Linked DNA regions of Elephas maximus indicus. The protein of the gene in region 2 purifies or fractionates together with the protein of the main gene of each other region. This does not show direct contact. Links are inferred from orthologs where the notes say so. Each region holds a gene or a part of one and is shown on either strand. Other genes may lie near its edges. The genes, in order: SERPINA1 and OS9.

Region 1 (9,940 bases), on a different chromosome or scaffold from region 2:
GGATAGACGAGGCTCTGGTTCCCCAGCTTGTGCCTGAGAAGCATGCTGGCAGTGCGGCCGGGTCAGGAGCTAGGCGGCCTGAGTTTGAATCCCAAACAGGGTGTGATTTGAGGCAAGTTCTTAACCTCCCTGTCCTCAATTTCCTCATCCATAAAGTGGGAATAATCACAGTAGCCACTTCAGAGGGTTGTTGTGAGGATAAAATTGGCTAATTTTTGCACCGAGCTCAGCAGCTGCCAGACCCAGAATAAGCACTCAGAAAGGTTAGCTGGAGTCCTGACGATGGCATCCCGTGCCAATGTTCCCGTGCCTGAGGGGTGCCCAGCGGCCCCCGTGCCTGGGGGAGACCCATACCGATGCCTGCAGGCCCAGGCTAGCGCAGTACTGTTTCTCAGGCATGTCTGGAGATGATGGAGACCTGGATGACAGGTAGGCTCCTGGCCCAGGTCCCTAGTGACCTGGGCTCAGCACTGCCCCTCTCTGCACCTTAGCGCCTCATCTGTAGAAGAGGAGGAGGATGGTGGCCAAGCACTGGGAGGCTGAGAGGCTAAAAGGAGGTAACCCTGAAAGGCGCCGGAGCTGTGCAGACAAACGCCTGCTCTCACTGTCATTGCCGCTGTAGCTTGGCCCTCGCCCTTCCTGGGGTCCCCAGACAGCGGAGCCAGCACCCACTTCCACATCTGCCTGCTCATTCACTGGTAGGTATGGGGGAGCCCCCCCAGGGCTGCTATTGCTATGGCGACAGGGGGCCTAGACCCAGCCAGCTCCATCCTCCTGGGGCCTCTGGCTATCCCCTCACCCGCCTGGAGGCTCTCCCCATTAGAAGGCATACTCACGACTCACTGTCCCAGGGCCAGGTGTTGACCAAGGCTGAGGAGACAGAGCCCTGTGCTCGTCTGTATTTAAGCAGTGGGCGCTGAGGGGCAAGTGGGGGGAGGCTGCTAGTGATTATTAACCAAGGTCACCACAGTTATCAGAGGAGCAAACAGGGACAAAGTCCGTTGGCCAGGCACCGAGGCACATGGGCTCAACCTGGGCAGTGCACAGCCCTCCACTTCACACACCACAGAGGATCATTGTTCTCAGCTCATAAACCAGCTGTGTCTGAGGTGGGGTGGGATGAGTCAGGGACTCCTGGGACAGCACCGCTCTGCCAGCCCCACGCCCCCGCTCTGAATCCTGGTGGCTGCCCTGTCCTCGGAGAGCAGGAGCTGCCATTTAGCCAGCCACCTCCAAACGCCTGGGGCTGAAGATTCACTGCTGCCCTGGGTGTCAGAGCATGTTATTAGCCCATTTGACAGATGGGGAAACTGAGACCCAGAGAGGAGAGGCCACTCATCCAAAGTCACCAAGCCAGCGTCAGATACAAAGAGGCTCGCGATTTCCCTGAGGAGAGGGTGGGGCAGGTCTGCAGGACAGGGCTGACAGGGCCACATCAGTCTGACGTGGGGTACCCGTGGGCACAGCCAGGGGTCTCAGAGTGTATCTGCAAAGATAGCCTGGCTTTGGGGTGAGGCTGATCCTGGTCAACTCTTGCCTGGATTTGCCACCGAAGAGCTGTGTGGCCTCAGGCAAGCTGCTTCACCTCTCTGATCCTGGGGGTGTTTTCATCTGCCTCATGCATTATCTGCCTCCTGGTTGGCACTCCCACCTCCTAGCGTTGTTGCCAGGACCACACAAAGCAGCTTATATAAAGTCCCTGACACACAGTAGGCTCTTTATCTCCAGGCTGCTCTGAGCAGAAGGAGGCCCAATTCAAGGCAGACCAACGTGACCCACAGACGAAAAATACCCGGTTGCCGTCGAGTTGATTCCGACTCATGGCGACCCCGTGCTTGCAGAGTAGAACTGGTCCATAGGGTTTTGAAAAATGTGACCTTTTAGAAGCAGATCACCAGGGCTGTCTTCCAAGGCCCCTCTAGGTGGGTTGGAACCATCAATTTTTTGGTTAATAGTCAAGCTCTTAACTGTTTGTGCCACCCAGAGACTGCTCCCATTTCCTTGGGAATGTGGCTCAGCCCTGGGGCTATTGCAGGCCCTTGGGTGCCCTATGGTGGTTGGGAGAGTGTTAGGGGGTAAGACCGGAAGGACCCCAGCCCCAGTCTCAGCTCCACTTGCTTGTAATCCCTTGAAAAACCTAAGTCAGATCACATCGCACCTTGTGCAAACGCTTCATGGCTCCTGTCTTGCACAGAGAAAAAAGCCCAAGTCCTTCCCAGTGGCCCACACCTCCAGGAGCCCCCTTCCTCTCCGACTCACCTCCTGGCACCCTCTCCCATGCTCACTCTGCTCCAGCCATGCCAGCCTCCTTGCTGTCCCTGGAGCCTCTCAGGCCTGCTCCAGCCTCAGAGCATTTTCACTGGCTGTTCCCCTTGCCTGCACACTTTTCCCCCACTTCTTTCAGGCCTCTGCTCAAACCTGCACTCAAACCTCCCCCGGTCACAAAGGTTTTTCCCTTTGAATAAGCCAGCACCCATCACCCCACACCCCCACTCTGCCCCCCTCCCTTTGCGCTTGCACCGTGGAGACACTTGAGGACCCCTCGACACTCGTGGCTGATCTCTGTACACACGCTCCGCGCGGGAGCTGCTCTGCTCTGTCCGTGTGCACCTGAGTCTGGCACCGTGGCACTAAGCACACTAAGCAGACATTTGCTGAGCTAATGGATGACTGTGTCATTGTTCCTTCTCTCCTTCCCTCAGTCTCCACTTTGCCTTCCCCTTGGGGTTCTGTCTCTAGCAAAAACATTCAGACCAGGGAGTCAGAGCCAGGTTGGCAGGGTTTGAATGCTGAGCCCCTGGGGGCTAAGCTATGTGGGTTGAAGCCTTAACTCCACCCCTCCCTTTTTGAGTGGTCACAGATAAGCCGCTGGGCCTCTCTGTGCTTGTTTCCTCATCTGTAAAATGGGGATATGGTTCCGCTGGTTGTGAGACCTGAAGTACATTGTTTAACCTTCCCATGCCTCAGTTTCCCCATCTGTAGAATGGGAACCAGGACAGTGTCTACCTGACTGGGCAGTGTGAGGATTAAATGTAGCCATTCAAGCTGAGCCCGGGGCCAAGTGTCACATGTGCACAATAGGCCTTCTCTGATGCTGACCAGGGCTCCCACTTAATCCTTGCCCAGTGTGGAGGGTCTCCCTGCTGCCTTACCCACAAACCCTGCTGCTGGTGCTCAGGGAAGGCCTCAAGGTGACCGGTGGGGTGGGGGCATCGGAGTGGCTTATAGGGTGGGGCCCTCAGAGTAGCTGGTGAAGTCGGGAGCCTCAGGACGACTGGTGGGGTGAGGGGCCTCAGGGTGACTGGTGGGGTGGGGGACATCGGGGTGGTTGGTGGGATGGGGGGCATTGGGGTGACTGGTGGGGTGGGACGTCTCGAGGTGGTCGTGGGGTGGAGAGTCTTGGGGTTGACTAGAGGTGGGGGACATTCTAAGAACTTTCTTCCAGGAAGCTGGACCCCATGCCAGGCATTCTCTCATTCAGTACTCACAGTACCCCTGGAGGTGGTGTGTACCCCTGCCTTTACAGAAGTGGGAAACTGAGGTTCAGAGAGGCAAGGACCCCCCAGCTTTGTCACCTGGCTTCAGTGTTTCTGCTGTCCCCTGATCTAGCCAAGTGGGCATCCCCCCAGGATTTTATATCCCGTCACATCTTGGAGAGATGTGCCTTCAATACCTTCTTGGTAAGCTTCTGCCCCTCTGTGGGCCTCAGTTTCCCCATCTGTACAACCTCGAAGCCCAGCTGCCCCTCCCAACTCTTGTATTGGATGGGCAATGGTCTCTTGGCAGGCACCCCCCCCCGCGCCCTTCCCCAGGGGGCCTGGGGACTGGCTAGAGGGTACCACCCCCTGTACCTTGAATTCCTGGCGGGCATGACGCGCCTCCTGCAGTGGTCCAATCCCTCTTCCTCCACAGCTGGTGTGGGGAAGTCGTGAGTGTCTGCTGGCCAGGAGGAAGGAGGCTGCGGTGGCAGTGGAGGCCACGGGTCTGGGAGGGTGGAGGCACAGGGGCAGGATGCTGCCTTGCACAAAGCTGTCATTGCCAGGTGGATGCCAGACCCACCCTTCTCAGCCTGGGCAGGCCTGCGCGTTATCAGCTGCCCTGTTGGTCCAGCATTGTGGCCCAGGAAGACTTACCGGCTGGTCTGGGCCTCTGTAAGAGGGCTGACCACACCCGCTCGGGATTAATGGAGATGACAGGCATCACCCTCCTGGCTCAGGGCCTAGAACAGGGTATCTGGCAGGTGCCTGGGTCAGCTGCAGAGGGAAGAGGGCGGAGGCACCCCTGAAATGCTCATGGGAGCCCCCTGGAGGCTGTGATGGGTGTGTGGCAGGGGAGAGGAGTGTATCACAGAGCCTGGCAGGAGCAGGAGAGATGGCAGATGGGGGGACATTTACAGAAGGAATGAGGAAAGAGCAGGGGAGAGTGAGGGGTCCCGGGCTGTATCCCCAGCGCTTCCTCATCTCCCCATCCTCACTCCCACTCTCCCCCTAGTGTTTTATGCTGCAGAAGTGACTCTGGGTACCCATCCTGAGAAGAAGGAGTGGGGTGATTTGGGAAAATGAACAAGGACAGAGTACACGGAGGCGTTAGTGGCCAATACCGAAGGACACTGTACCCCGTGACCCAGAGGCCATGGGGCAGGGGGTGGGGGAGAGAATCTTGTTCTCTGGGTCCCTTCTGGAATTGCCTGTGGCATCGCCTGGGTGGGTTCCCCGGGCACGACCGCACCACGGGAAATCGTGTGGATAGGTTGGAGACGGATATTTGGGGAGACTCTGCCCCTCCGTAAAAACATAAAAAGCAAAACAAAACCAGTTGCTGTCGAGTCTGTTCTGACTTGCGGCGACCCCACGCACGTCAGAGCAGAGGTCAGAGCAGACGTGCGCTCCGTGGGGTTGTCAGTGACTCCGGGCGGCCCCACGCACATCAGAGCAGAGGTCAGAGCAGACGTGCGCTCCGTGGGGTTTTCAGTGACTCACGACGGCCCCACGCACGTCAGAGCAGAGGTCAGAGCAGACGTGCGCTCCGTGGGGTTGTCAGTGACTCGGGGCAGCCCCACGCATGTCAGAGCAGAGGTCAGAGCAGACGTGCGCTCCGTGGGGTTTTCAATGACTCACGGCGACCCCACGCATGTCAGAGCAGAGGTGCGCTCCTTAGGGGTTTTCAATGGCTGATTTTCCAGAAGTATATCACCTTTTTTTATATCACCAGGCCGTTCTTCCTAGGCACCTCTGGATAGATTCAAACACTAACCTTTCAGTTTATAGTTGAGCGCTTTACTATTTACACCAAGCAGGGTCTCCAGTAGGGCCCTGCAAAGGAATGGGAGCCCCACTGTGTAGGATAGGGAGAGGCCTGAGAGCTGAGATGCCGAGTCTCCAACAAGGAGGAAAGTGAGGAGTGGAGTGTGCTGAAGAAGGGTCCTGGGCCAAGTAGACCAAGGACCAAGGATCGTCGATTGCTCAGGAGTCCCCTGGATTTCAGGGGAGCTGAACCCATTTGCAGGAAAGTGTGGAAACCAGCCTGTACTGCCCCCCCACCCAACACACACACACACACCACATGCCCTCCCTCTCAGATTTCCTTCCCGTTTCCAGGGTCTGTTAAGCACAGACTCAGGGGCTAAGCTATCAAGCCTTAACTCCACCCCTTTCTTTTTGCATGATCTTAGACAAGCCTTGTAATCTCTCTGTGCCTCAGTTTCCTCATCTGTAAAATGGGCATATGAACTGTCACTCACTTCCACGAGGGTTATATAACATGTAAGCCCTTAGGGCAGTCTTGGCACATGGCCCCAAGTTAATGCCAACTGCTGTTATGGTCTATGGGAATGTACCCTGGTCTGGAAAAGATTTCAGGTGGATCCCAGAGGCCTGAGAGTGGGAGAAAGACCCCTGCCTTTGGTCCCCATTTGGGAGCATCTCTCTTAGACCAGGGATGCCTCCTCAGATTCAGGCTTCCACTTATCTGAGAAGGCCACCCATCCTTTCTCCAGGGGCCTGTGTTCATGTTGCTTCCTGGAGATGCAACTAGCGTCTACCTGAGCACCTGTGAGGTGCAATGTAGCCAGGTGGGCCTGGGGCAGCGGAAGCCGGGCAGCCTGGGACTCACTGGGGGAAGGGCTTTGCTTCGCCTTGCTGAGCCCCAGCATCCTCATCTGTAAGATGGGGACAATAAGAGTCTCTTTCTCACAGGTGGCTTTAAGGTGCTGCCTGTGTGTATTTAACAATTGTGCCGGCATGGTTGACACGTGGCTGCCTTCTCAGAACGCACTTTAATTACTAGGGCTATTACCAGGGATGGAGAGCGTTTGCACACTTGGTTCGCCTCCTCCTGGCACTCTTGTGAACCTGCCAACTTGCAACATCCAGGCGGACCCTGGTCCTTCCTGTGTTCAACCTCCAGCGCTGCTTCCTATACTTGGTACAATTTCTGAACTTTCTGAAACTATCCGACAAATTCAGAGTTCCTTGTTTTCATTCCTCAGCCTACGCAGATAGAGAAAAATAAAGATATCGGTGCGTTGTAAGGGACAATATAGTTAATAGAAGGAATAAAACGTACATTTATAGTTTCATCCCCCACTCAGTAAAATAAATAAAATAAGCATTCTATTATAACTAACCTTTCCTGCACTGTAATTTGGAAAGCAGGAGAATGAATAAGGAAGACCAAAGAAGAGTTGACGCCTTTGAATTGTGGTGATGGTGAAGAATACTGAATATACCATGGACTGCCAGAAGAATAAACAAATCTGTCTTGGAAGAAGTACAACCAGAATGCTCCTTAGAAACAAGGATGGCGAGACTGTCTTACATACTTTGAACACGTTATCAGGAGGGATCAGTCCCTGGAGAAGGACAGTATGCTTGATAAAGTAGAGGGTCAGTGAAAAATAGGAAGACCCTCAACCAGATGGATTGACACAGTGGATTCAACAATGGGCTCGAGCATAACAATGATCAGGAAGATGGCACAGGACCAGGCAGTGTTTGGTTCTGTTGTACACAGGGTCGCTATGAGTTGGAACTGACTCAGTGCACCTAAGTACAATAAAACACTGTAATTTTACCCTTTGAGTGCCATTATGGACTCGCAGCTTTTAGGAGACTCAACCTGTCCTGTTTAACTGTCATGATCATTTCCCTTCTGGTGTTCCCCGTTTCATATTTCGGCCAGTAGGAGCCCCTTTAATTTTTCTCTGTTCTCCTTTCAGCAGGCTCTTTGTACGACGTTCTGGAGCATACATGCGGGCTTTGTAGTCAGGGCACCATGTCCCAGCCCATCCTCACCGTTCCCGGCCCCTGGACATTGAGTGTTGTCCTTGACCCTCTCTGGGGCACCCTGTTGGAAGGGAAGAGGGAGGGGTGGCACAGGCAGGGCTGGGTGACAGGACTCACCCCCGAGGGGAACATGGAGACCCAGCAGGACATTGAGACTTGTTTTTCAGAGGCACATGTCCTGTGTGGGCGGCTCAGATAACAGGGAGCGATAGGGCGTCTAGAACTTGCCTCACGACCTTGGGTTGAAGCGGTTCAGTCCCCGTTGTTGACTTCCCTTCATGTTGACTTTAAGCATTTCTGTTTGCTCACATTTTATAATACAAATCCCCAAAGTGTTCCCGTGTGCGGTCTATCATCACCTGCATCACAGCTGATGCTTCTCAGGTGCTTATTACCTGCTGGGCTCTGTTCTAGATGCTTTATGTGTATTCACGTGCAATCCCCTGCGGTGGGCGCCATTATTCTCCCCTTAGTGTGGATGGGGAAACTGAGGCACAGACCGCTACCACAGTGCTGAAAATGCAGCCAACCTGCCTCCCTCCTGCCTTCCCTTCCTTCCTACATGTCCTTCCTTCCTACATCTATAATCAGCTCATAGGGCTGTCTTCCTTACATTCACCCATCTATTAGTGTACCTGCTCATTTATTCATTCACTCTCTAAATATCATGTGTTGCTCTCCTGTTGGGTGCCAGCAACTGCACTAGGCTCTGGGTTTGCAAAGGTGAGAAGACATGGTCCCCACTGTCTGGAACTCACGCTCTGGTGAGGGCCAAGCCGGGGAACATGGAGGCTCTTCCAGAAATCCGGGGAGGGAGGAGACGTGGATATGAGAGATGAACAGGAGGCAGGGGCAGAAAGATGGATGACAGGTCGGAGGGCTGACATATGGGGTGAGAGCCAGGAAGGTGTTGGGGCTGGAATCAGATCTCTGAACTCCCTGTTCAGGTCTCTTTCTGTCCATCCTTCCCACCTCCTTGGATAGGATCTCTTTCCAACCCCTCACCACCCCCTATGCCAGGAAGGAATAAACTCTCTGAAGGCAGGTCCACAGCTGGCTGGCAGCATCTGAGATGATGAAATGCCGGATGGGGGGTTGCATAACATCTTTCCTGTTGCTGCTCCTTGTCGCCCCTCTCTGTTCTGGGGCTCAGGCCCCTGTCACCCCTTGTTCCTCCTCCTGTGTACTCACAGATAGTGAGCCCCGACTCCCCCAGAGAAGCTTGCTTCTCCTCGAGTCCTCTCCAGTGGGGGTTGTTTGCTCTCCAACATTCCCTGGACTCATTTACTGTTGAGATCTCTTTCTGCCAACCCTCCCTGCTCCGTTGGATAGGGACTCTCTTCACATGTCCCCATGCCAGGAACAAGCAAATGGCACCATTCCCTGGGTGCAAGAGCAGGTCTGATTCTCCCGGCCTCCCTGCTGGCTCCCAACCTCTCCTCTTCCTGCAGTTACACAGCCTCCCTGGATGGCCCCATGCTCTCCCAACCTCTCCTCTTCCTGCAGTTACACAGCCTCCCTGGATGGCCCCATGCTCTCCCAACCTCACCCCTGACATCCACAGGCCTGTGCATCACACCCTGTGGTTGTTGGTGACCTCATGTACAGCAGAACAAAATGTTGCTCAGTCCTGAGGGTCTCATTTTCCAGCACTCCATCAGACAATGTTCTATTGTGATCTGAAGGGTTCTCATGGGCTGATTTTTCGAAGCAGGTTGCGAGGCCTTACTTCCTAGTCTGTCTTAGTCTGGAAGTTCCATTGAAACATGTCCATCATGGTAACTTGGCTGGTATTTGAAATACCTGGGCATGGCTTTCAGCATCACAGCAACACACAAACCACCACAGTGGGACAAACTGACAGACAGGTGGTGGGATCACCCCCAGCATCACTGGACATGGGCACCTGGGCCCGGCCTGGTCTTCTCTGGCATCACTCAGTGTCCTCATGGGTGCCCCTCTAAGCCCCTGGCCTCTTGCCTTCTGTCCATCTCATTTCCAAGATTTGTTTCTTACTCTTCCCCACCACAGACGGTCATGGCTGCACCTTGGCCTTCAATCTGAGACCTCTAATATCAACTCTTTATCTAAAATCACATCTTGGTTGCTCCCTCCCACGTGCCCTTGGCCCTTCTGGGGCCGTAGTAGACAGATGGAAATGGTGTGGAGTGACCAGCTTAAATCTCATGGTCCATCCCTTCGGCCACTCTCCTGGCAATACCTTTTTGGTAGCCACAATAATGTCCCCATTATATGAAGATGTTCACATACTAATTCCTGGGACCTGTGAATGTCTTACCTTACATGGCAAGATGGGCTTTGTAGATGTGATAACTTTTAGGATCTTGAAATGGGGAGACTAGCCTGGATTATCCAGGCGTGTCCAATGTAATCACAAGGCTGCTTATACAGGAGACGGAAGGGCCAGAGTCAGAGAAGAAATGCAAGGACAGACGCAGGCATCAGAGTCATTCAGGAAGGGGTCATGAGCCAAGGAACACAGATGGCCTCTGGAAGCTGGAAGAATGAAGGACATTGACTCGCACCTAAAGCCTTCAGAAAGAATGAGTCTTTCCAACACTTTGAGTTCAGATTTCTGACCCTCAGGACTGTAAGAGAATAAACTTGTGTTGTTTTAAGCAACTAATTTTGTGGTG
Region 2 (10,594 bases):
CAGATTATTTACCTGTGTGGATGCCTGTGTGTATATGTGCATGTGGGTGTACACATATGAAGCGCTGAAGGAACACAACTATCTTTCTGGGTTTGTCAAGAAAAGTCACAGAAAATAAGTGACATTTGAACTGGCTTATCCATTCCACTCATTCAACAAATAATTCCTGGGCACCCCGTTGGTGCTGGGTACTGTTCCAGGCACTGAAGATACAGCAGGAAACAAGACAGACACTGTCCCTGCCTTCCTGGAGCTTATTCTAGTTGGGGGAGACAGATATTAAACAAATAAGATAACTTCAGATGATAATACATGCTTTGAAGAATATTAAACATAGTAGGTATTTACAAGAACCAGGACAGAGGTGTGTGTGTGTCTACATTAGATCTCCCTAAGGAGGTATCATTTGAATATAACCTAAATGAGGGGATGGAGCCAGCCACTCCAGGATCTGTGGAAAGACTGCTCCAGGAAGAAGGAACAATGAGAACCACTGGGTCAAAGGATAGAAGGAAGGCCAGTGTGGCAGAAATGCAGTATTTATATCTCCAGCCCAGACCAAGTACCTGAACTCTAGACTCACAGAGCCAACTACCAACTAGACATCACCACTTGGATGTCTAATAGACATCTAGACTTTCATGTATCCAAAACTAACCCCTAATTTCCTCCCCTAAACCCACTCCTACCCACTTTAATAAATGACAATTCTATCCTTCCAGTCGCTCAGGCTAAAAACCTTTGACACTACCTTTTGAGGGATTTTCATCCATAACATAACCAATATGTTGATGACTGCCAGCTTTGACTCCACCCTACATCCAATCTATCAACAAGTCTTATTGGTTCTACCTTCAAAATATATGCAGAAGCCATCCACTTTTCAGTGCCACCATTGGCACCACCCTGGTCTGTGTGAGGCATTTGGACCTCATCCTTCGGACAACGCACAATCACTGAAGGTTTTCTAGGACTGGGCAGAGAAGTGACCTGTGCTTACAGTGATGTTCTGAAGCCAGCTTACACTAGCTCACAAGAGCTGACTGGTAAATTTTCAGAGATTTTGCAAGCCAACTGATGTCACACTGATAGCTTGAAACTGGCAAACACTAAAAATCAGGGCTTTGCCCCCCTAGAAATCTGGGTGTTCAACACTTGCAGCACACCACCTCAAATGCAAATCTGTATTACAGAACAATAACTCTGGTAGGTGTCATGTGGGTCTCTACGGTGTTTGTGAATACACATTAGGATCACCTGAGGACCTTTAACATACACCTGCGGGCCCACCCCCCTAGTTAAGGACCACTAGATCGGGAACACCTGTTAAGAGGGTGTGGGCAGTGATGCAGGAGGGAGGTGAAGGTACCAACCACAGGGACAAAGAGTTTTGAGAGATATCTAGAAGTAGAATGCATAGGCTTTGTTATTTACTCTCAGAGAACTAAGCTCCTTCATATCACTTCTCAGTTTGTAATCATAGGCTCCTTTCTGGGGTTCTTTTGCTAACATGACTTCCAAGAGGGCAAGGGATGCGTCTGCTTGCCCACCACTGTGTCCCCAGACCCCAGCCCAGGACCTACATACAGCAAGAGCTTACTGGAGAGTCTTTAACTGAAGAAAGGAAGGATGACATGAAAGAGAAGGGAGAGTCAAGGATGGTACTCAGGTTTCTAGTTCAGGCGACAGAAAAGAGAAATATGGAAAAAAGAGTAAATGTGGTTGGGGATGCTAGGGGGAAGATGTAGGAATTGTTGACCTGAAGAACCTCTGAACATCCATGTAGCAACATCCAGCTGGCAACTGAAATATGTCTGTCTGGGAGAGATTCACTTGACCATAAGATGCAACTCTGCCCTCTTTCCTTGGAATCTGAATTGTCACTGAGGGAGTGTCAACATTCCTCTCTCAAGACTCACCCGAACCTCGGCCTCCCGGGGCCTCCCATTGAGGTCGCACTTCGACCCATTCCCATAGGTTTGGCTGTGATAGCGCTTCAGGCGATGCTGCTTAGAGGCCTGGAAAGGATAGCAGGCAGGAGAGAAGGGGGACGAGAAAGTTAGCAAGGAGGAAGAACAGCACTAACCCCCCACGGGGACCTTACAGGCCTTGGGAATCCAGGCCCCAGGGGCCTTTGTCCTAATGGCCACCAAGTCCCGAAAATATGCTAGCCAATTCTAACCCTAAGCCAGGGCTCTCAGGATGCAGCCAGGACCCCCTTCCCTCCCAATCCCACACTTCTACCACCTTGGCTGTTTCGTCATCCCAGTCGAAGGCCGATTGGTAGTAGCCAAGATAGAGGACTTCGCCTTTGATCTCTGAATCTGCAAAAGTAATCACAGTGGAGCACCATTACTCCCTTCTGAGAGATGCGAGGAGGGAAGGGGACTGGGGAGTCAGGTCACCTGCCACAACATGTGGCTGAGGGCTTAGGGAGAACAGAGAAGGGAGTCACCTTCCATGTGGTACTGCTGGATGTGGCGTCCATAACAAAATTCATATGTCCACCAGTCCTTTGTCTGACAATAAAAAAATGGACAATCAGGGGGATGGAGTGGGGATGTGTCACCTGGGAACCAGAATCTCTCCTGGCTCCAGGACATACAACTTCTCATCTACTGATATCTCTCTCCAAGTCCACATGCAATTCCCCAAATTCTCAGTGAGCAGACAGCACTGTTTTCTTTCTCTGGCTTGGGGTGGTACCTCTAAAGTCTGTTTCCCACCTGTGGTCTTTCCACTCCTTCCATATATATTTAAATCCTTCTTTACCCTCAGTAAAGACAAAAGAATCATGGTATCCTTGAAGCACTCAGACCAGGGAAACATAGAAGACCCCAATCTCAAATATTAATTAACTGTCTACAACATCCCTTGCACTGTTCTAGACATTAGGGATACAGCTGTGAACAAGACACATTCCCTGACCTCATGAAACTTACATTCCAGTGCAGGGAAGCAGACCAAAAATAAGTAAATAAATAAACAAACTGATGATTCTGTTAACAGGATGATTTCAGAAAAAAGTGCTAGGGTGAAAATAGGATAGTGGGATGGAGAGTGACTGGGGCAGGAGGTGACTTTGCTAGGGTTTACTAGGAAGGCTTCTCTAAGGAGGTGCCCTTCCTATCCCACACTGCCCCTCTTTAGGCACCTCAATCTTTGTTTAGCCCTTATTCTGAGATCTCCTATCCTAACCCTCCTCTACACTGGCAGAGCCACATCGGTGGTTGCAGGATTCTTTGCTCCTTTCCTGTCTGTATGTCTACTCCTCCAGCAGCCTTCTTAACTCCTACAGGTCCTCTAGATCCCTCCTCATTCACCAGCACTCTGGTTCTCGCATGGTCTGTTAGTGCCCAAGCCCTGTTCCATCCATTCCAGTCCCTTTTACCTTCAGCAGGCAAGGAGCATCTTTCATCGGGCTCAACAACTCAGGGACCCCAGGCCCTTGGTAAGCAGGTGCCTCCTCCTCCCTTTCACGCTGGAAGTGAATGGCTCCAGCTGGCAGGCGACACTCATAGCGCTGTTTGTACTTAGAGGAGACAATCACCACGTCCGAAGCCTGGCTCTGGGAAAGCAGGGGGGTGGGGGTAGGGGAGCAGGGAGGCAAAGAGAGGCTAGGATCAGGCAGAACAATGAGATTCCTCTTCAGACCCTGGGGAAAAGCCCAGTTGGAGACAGAATGAACCCACAAGTCCTCCAGCTGTGCTCGGTGGGTGAGGGGAGAGAACACTCCCACTTGGCCATCCGGGCGGAGTCAAGTGAGTGTTCATCAGGGACTGGGACCTGGAGGCTGACAGCGGGAAGCCCCACCCTCCCAGCCCCTGGCCCCAAGGGATGGGCTCAGTCTGTGATTCCCAGAAATCATCATAAACCCCATTCTACTCTTCTCGACTCTCCTTAGGCTTCTGCCCCAGACTCCGCAGCTGTTTTCCTTCCCTACATTTTTCTCTTCTATCCCGGATCCTCGCCCCCCTCTATGCCTCCTCACCTGCCCTCCCATGACAGGCAAAGGCAGGATCTCAATCCCATAACGCATCTCACTCAGTTCCTCCAGGTTCAGGCTTCCGACACCGCCGGTCAGACTTGCGGGTAACAGGAGCCCCAGAAGCACCAGCCCCAAAAGACTGGACAGCACCGTTTCCGCCGCCATCTTTCGTTCCCCTTCTTATCCCGAGCAACTCTTTCCGCCCTAAACCTGGCAGGGGCTTCATCCCGCCCATTAATAACACAAGGTTTCATTGGCTATAAGTGCTGTCCCTCTTACGTACCTTATTCCCATTTGTAAGCATGACTACAAAGCTCACCGGGTGGTGGATCACAACTAATGGCCAATCACTCGCTGCACTTGATTGGTCAGAGAGGCCAACCAATCATCGACAAGATCAAACCCCCTTCCACCCTCTCTTCGCTTCCAGGCTGTGCGGTCTTTGCCCTCGGCCTTTTGCAGCGGCTGCCTGGCCTTCGCCCGGACGTTGTATTCGTCTCTTATTACTTCGGTGGATATCTTCTGCGTTGTAGTAGGCCCCAGCAAGGCGGAGGATTTAGGCCGAAGGGCAGGTGGGCGTGATGCCCGTTGAAGTTACTTAATATTTGTTGCCCAACAATTATTGTAGAGACTTGTTTGTTAGTTGCCGTCCAGTTGGCTCCGACTTGTGGTGTGACCTTATATATAATAGAACAAAACGTTGCCCGGTCCTGCGCCATCTTCGTGAAAGTTGATATGTTTGAGTTCATTATTGTGGCTATTGTATAATGCCTTCCGACCTAGGGTGCTCACCTTCTAGCACTATACTGGACAGTATTCTCTTGTGATCCGTAAGGTTTTTATTGGCTAATTTTCTGGAAGTAGATCACCAGGGCTTTTTTCCTAGTCTTAGTCTGGAAGCTCCATTGAAACCTATCCACCATGAGTGACCCTACTGGTTTTTGAAATACTGGTGGTATAGTTTCCAGCACAATAACAATAGGCAAGCCACCACAGCGTGACAAACTGGCAGAGACAGGTGGTGGTATTGTACAGAAGCATACCTCTTTTCATATATACATACAACTTTAAGACAATCTAGTAATTTGTATCAAACAAAGAGAAAGAGAAAAAGAAAGGAGACAACAACAGTAACATTTTGGAAGCTGGAAAGCAAATGGAGAAATGATAATTGCTTTGCAGACTTGAGAAAGTTGATTCCTCAACAGAGGTAAACAAGGGCATGATTGTACCTCCAGGCAGGGCATTGAAAAACCTTCTCTGGCGAATCTGACCAGCCAGGGGGAGAAATCCCAAGATACTCTCATCAGGATTCCTTCAGTGAAATAGCTGAACCAATCCTACAGTTAAGCCATTGGCCTGCATTCCTATCCCGTACATGGACTTTCCAATGAGCCTTTTAATGTGCTCATTCTTAGATAAAAGCAGAGGCCCAAGGATCATTAGGCATTTAAGGAAAACCTTTACTATACGAGAAAGAGACCAAAACAAGCAAATGAGAGGAAACAGATTTCAAGGGACAAAACAAATAAATAAAAATAAAAAGTCCTGAAAACAAAATAAAGCAAACATTAATATCCTCAGAGAGATAAGAGTGCATCCATGAGAAAACAACAATAAGCGATTTTAAAAAGTAACTACTATTGAGATAAGCAAAAAGAGCTCTTGGAAATTAAAACCATAGGCAGAAATAAAAGTGGAATAGAAAGACTAGAAGATAAAGTTGAAGAAGACCAAATTTGCTCTCCTTTAGGGGGAAAAATCATATATATATATATATATATATATATATATATAGGATCAGCTCAGGAGGTAGAATGTCTGATTAATAAGAGCTCCAGAAAGACAGAAAGTCAGAAGGGAAGAAATGACCAGTGTAATTATTAAAAAGTATTTCCTTGAATGGAAGGATTGTGTTTCCAAATTGAAAAGATACACTAAGTATTCAGCACAACGAATCAGACCCACACCAAGATGCATTATTGTAGAATTTCAGAATGCTGGAGACAGAGAAAATATTCTAAAAGCTTCCAGAGAAAAAGAACAGGTTTCATACAAAGATCAGGAATCAGAACAGTGTTAGGCTTCTCAACTCTGAAAGCTAGAAAACAATGGAGAAATGGCTTGAAAATTCTGAGGGAAATTATTTCCAACCAGAATTCTGCATCCAGCCAAACTATGGTTTAATTATGAGTCCAGAACTGAGACAATTTCAGATATTCAAGCCCTTAAAATATTAACACTCTATACATTGCTTTTCAGAAAGATAGGAGAAGATGTATTTCATCAGAACAAGTCAGTTAGTTAAAAAAAGAGGAAGGCATGGAATCTACGGAATCTATGGAGGATTCTTGCAGAACCAAGATTCTAAATAAAGCTACCAGTTTACAGGAAATATGGGAAATAGGAGAATACGTTAAACACCACAGGATTGTTTAACATATGAGGAATAAAACAGGATTAATGTCCCAATCCCTTTAACAAATACATTGCAAGATTTAAGAAATGAAGAAAACCGTTTATATTGAAAGAGGTCTAAGAGATGTATCCACCAAATGCAATGTATAGATCTTGATTGGGTCCTGAATCAAGCTACCTATGAAAATACTTTTATGTCAGGAAAATGGGCACTGACTGGATATTATATGATATTAATGAATTATTATTATTTTGTTGGACAGTATTATGTTTTTTGGGACAGTATTATATTTATGTTAAAATTAGCCCTTATCTCTTAGAGATACGAACTCATGTATTTACCAGTAAGATGGTATGATGCCTGTAAGAATCTGGGGGGAAGCGGTGGTGATATAGATGAAGTGAGATTAATCGTATTTTATAATTTTTAAAGCTACATGATAGGTACATGGGGTTCATGATTCTTTACTTTCTACTTTTGATTGTGTTTGAAATTTTCCATTTAAAAAACGCAGGGAGTAATTTTAACAACAGTTTAGATTTAGTTGAAGATAGAATTAATGATGTTCAGAAGAAATTATACAGAGTGAAGCACAGAGCAACAAAGAGAGTATAAGACATATGGAGGGTAAAGTCAGAAATCTAACACATGTCTAACTGGAATTCTGGAAGGAAAAGAGAGAAAAAATGCAGCAAAGATAAAGGCTGAGAATTTTTCAAAACTGGTGAGAAATACAAATCCACAGATTCAAGAGGCCTAACAAATTTCAAGCAGGATAGATAAAAAGAAGTCAGTAAATAGACATACCATAGTGTAACTCAGTAACATTAAAGACAAAGAGCAGGTCTTTAAAAGGTGCCAGAATGTGGGTTACACTGGTGTAAACATTTGTCAAAGCTCACTGATCTGTAACAGGTAAGGTCTGTGCATTTCACTGCATGTAAATTTTACCACGATAAATAAAAGCAACCAGAGAAACAGATTACCTTTAAAGGAGCAGCAGTTAGACTGAGAACTGACTTCTCAATAGCAGCCATGGAAGCCAGAAGACAAGTCAATGACATCTTCAGTATATTGAAAGAAAATTGGTTCTACTGGGAATTTTATGCCCCATGAAAATATCTCTCAATAATGAGAGTGAAATACAAAGAGTTTCAGACAAACAAAAACCAGAAGAATTTGCAGCCAGAAGATTCTCACGAAGGAAAATTCTAAAGAATATACTTTGGACAAAAGAAAGTTATCCTAGATGGGAGGTCTGACATATAAGAAGAAATGAAGAATAACAAAAATGGGAAATATGTTTTAAAACTGACATGAATATTGACTGTATAAAGCAACAACAGTAATGTATTCTGGAGTTTATATATCAAGATGGAATTAAAACTCATTGAAACAATTACATATACATTAGGAGGTAGGTGAGTCAAGTCAACTTGTTCTAGTTTTCTTGAAATTATCTGCAAGGAGAGTGTGCCAATTATTAAGCTATGTGTTTCATCTTCAAATCCACCCTTCTAAAGGTCCCTGGGTGGCACAAATGGTTTGTACTCAGCTGGTAACCAAAAGGTTGGTGGTTGGAAACCACTCCGCTGCACCGAGCTGTTGGAAACAGGCCTGCTTCCGTAAAGATTACAGCCAAGACAACCCTATGGAGCAGTTCTACTCTGTAACACATGGGGTCTCCTAAGTCACAAATCAACAGCAAAATCAACAACAAATCCACCCTTCTGAATGCCACTCTGATGCTGGGGCTGATGATCTGCAAACCATCTTTTTTTTTTTTGTCAGCCAACTCACTCTTACGTTCTATCAGTTCTGCTGGAGAAAGACTAGAAAGCTAGAGGAGGAAGAAATGGGTTTCCTTCTTTCTGTTTCTTGCTCTTCCAGAACCAGCTTCATTGTACCCCCGCAGAGGTCCAGGAACAACCAGGGAACTCAGCTCTACCGGGTGCCTCATCTGACGCTCTAGTTGTGATAACCCCCGTCTCTTCCTTTTGCTTCCCTAGCTCCAGGAGCAGTAGCTGCTCCCTGCTCCTCTGTGATACCTCCATGTTCCCTTTTGCTTTTTCATTCCTCCAACATTTGTTTCATCAACTCTGTCTATTAAATTCTCCCTGTTAAAGCCTGTCTTAGTTACCTAGTGCTGCTATGACAGCAAAACCACAGGTGGGTGGCCTGAACAAACAGAAGTGTATCATCTCACAGTTCAGGAGGGTAGAAATCCAAATTCAGGGTGCCAGCTCTAGAAGAAGGCTTTCTCTCTCTGTTGGCTCTGGGGAAAAGTCCTTGTCTCTTCTGGGCTTCTGCTCCTGGGTGATCTTCACGTAGCTTGGCATGTCTGCTTCTTTCGCTTGCTTGATTAGCTGTTTTTATATCTCAGAAGAAATTGACTCAGAATATACCCTACATTAATCCTGTCTCGTTAGCATAACAAAGGCAACCCCTTTCTCAAATGGGATTATAACCACAGGCATAGAGGTTAGGATTCACAACACATATTTTTTTGGGACACAACTCAATCCATAACAGCATGTAATGTGGTTTTTGTTTTTCTGGCTGAACCCTTAGTGATACAGACAACACTGATGTTTAGATTTCGATAAGCCAAATATTTATATTTATGTTGTAGATAACCAGTAAAGGAGTACGGAAAGAGTGTATAACCTCCAAAGCAAAGGGAAAAATGAAATGAGAAAAAAATACCAAATTTATGAAGTCACTTATTTCAAGTAACACCATTATTATATCTAACACCGAAAAGGATATAAGCAGGACCAATTTACCCACGGCGTACTATCAGTTGTAAGATCCATCCCAATTTCAGAGTATTAAATATGAGTGTATTAAAATATGAAAAAGTGTGTGTCTAAGAGTCAATAAAATATGACATATACTGTTTATAGAGAAGAACATCTAAAATGTAAGGATACAAAATAATTAAAAATAAAAATATACCCTGAGGGAGCAGGAGAGCAGTGGGATGCAGACCCCAAATTCTCATAAGACCAGACTTAATGGTCGGACTGAGACCGGAAGGACCAGGGTGGTCATGGCCCCCAGACCTTCTGTTGCCCCAGGACAGGAACCATTCCTGAAGCCAACTCTTCAGACATGGATTGGACTGGACAATGGGTTGGAGAGGGATGCTGGTGAGGAGTGACCTTCTTGGATCAGGTGGACACTTGAGACTATGTTGGCATCTCCTGCCTGGAGGGGAGATGAGAGGGTGGAGGGGGTTAGAAGCTGGCGAAAAGGACACGAAAAGAGAGAGTGGAGGGAGAGAACAGGCTGTCTCATTAGGGGGAGAGTAATTGGGGGTGTGTAGCAAGGTGTATTTTTTTTTAGCAAGGTGTATATGGGTTTTTGTGTGAGAGACTGACTTGATTTGTAAACTTTCACTTAAAGCACAATAAAAATTATTTAAAAAATAAAATAAAAATGTGGAGAAGATATATCATGAAAATTATAAATAAAAGCAACTTTGTTGTGGTAGAGACAATGCAATGTTTCATCAAACTAGTTTTATCTTCCTCCTGGTCACACAGATAAACTACCTTTACCAACACATACTGCAGTTAGGTAGAGCTACATGATTCAGTTCTGGCCAGTGAAATATGGGCAGAAGTGATGGCCACCACTCTATGCCTAGATCCTAAAATGCTCTGTGTTTTCTTCCACACTCTTTTTCATCCACCACATGCAGGGTAGATAGCAACTCCCAGAAAGACCTTGGCTGCCACATGTTGAAGATGGTGGACCTCTGTCAGTTGGATTCCTGAATGAATGCGTGGTGCAGAGCATCCTACCACCACCACTTACAACCTATGCTAGGCTCTACTATGAGCAAGTAAAAACTTTTGTTGACTCACTGAACTTTAGGGTTGTGTTTAACACTACTAACCCTAACTAACACAGAAACTGACAGTAGAAGTAGAGTACTGCTGTAACAGAAACTGAAACAAAAAGGATTGACTTAGTCAATGAGAAAATTGATACCAGAGGCTCAAAAGATGACAATCTATTTGTGCCAGTAAACGTGCAATCGAGAAAACAGAAACAACTCCAGGTTTTTCAAACACAGGGAATTTAATACAGAGAATAATTTACAAAAGTGTTGCAGGAATCAACAGATGAATGAATAAACAAAATAGTTTATTCATTACAGTACATGCAATGGAGTACTA

Evidence for each region.
Region 1: the proteins of OS9 (region 2) and SERPINA1 purify together in Homo sapiens (affinity purification with western blotting; 4 studies listed by BioGRID). This does not show direct contact. The link is inferred for Elephas maximus indicus from reciprocal best matches to the Homo sapiens genes OS9 and SERPINA1.

The regions. Positions count from the first base shown.
Region 1 is NC_064828.1:107,953,859-107,963,798, forward strand, and holds the start of SERPINA1 (alpha-1-antitrypsin), read right to left. Parts: upstream 4,189-9,940; 5' UTR 4,037-4,188; coding exon 3,852-4,036; intron 861-3,851; exon of another isoform or gene 837-860; intron 1-836.
Region 2 is NC_064822.1:117,596,716-117,607,309, reverse strand, and holds the start of OS9 (protein OS-9), read right to left. Parts: upstream 4,188-10,594; 5' UTR 4,154-4,187; coding exon 3,992-4,153; intron 3,569-3,991; coding exon 3,392-3,568; intron 2,520-3,391; coding exon 2,456-2,519; intron 2,325-2,455; coding exon 2,248-2,324; intron 2,019-2,247; coding exon 1,920-2,018; intron 1-1,919. UniProt on the Homo sapiens protein: Lectin component of the HRD1 complex, which functions in endoplasmic reticulum (ER) quality control and ER-associated degradation (ERAD).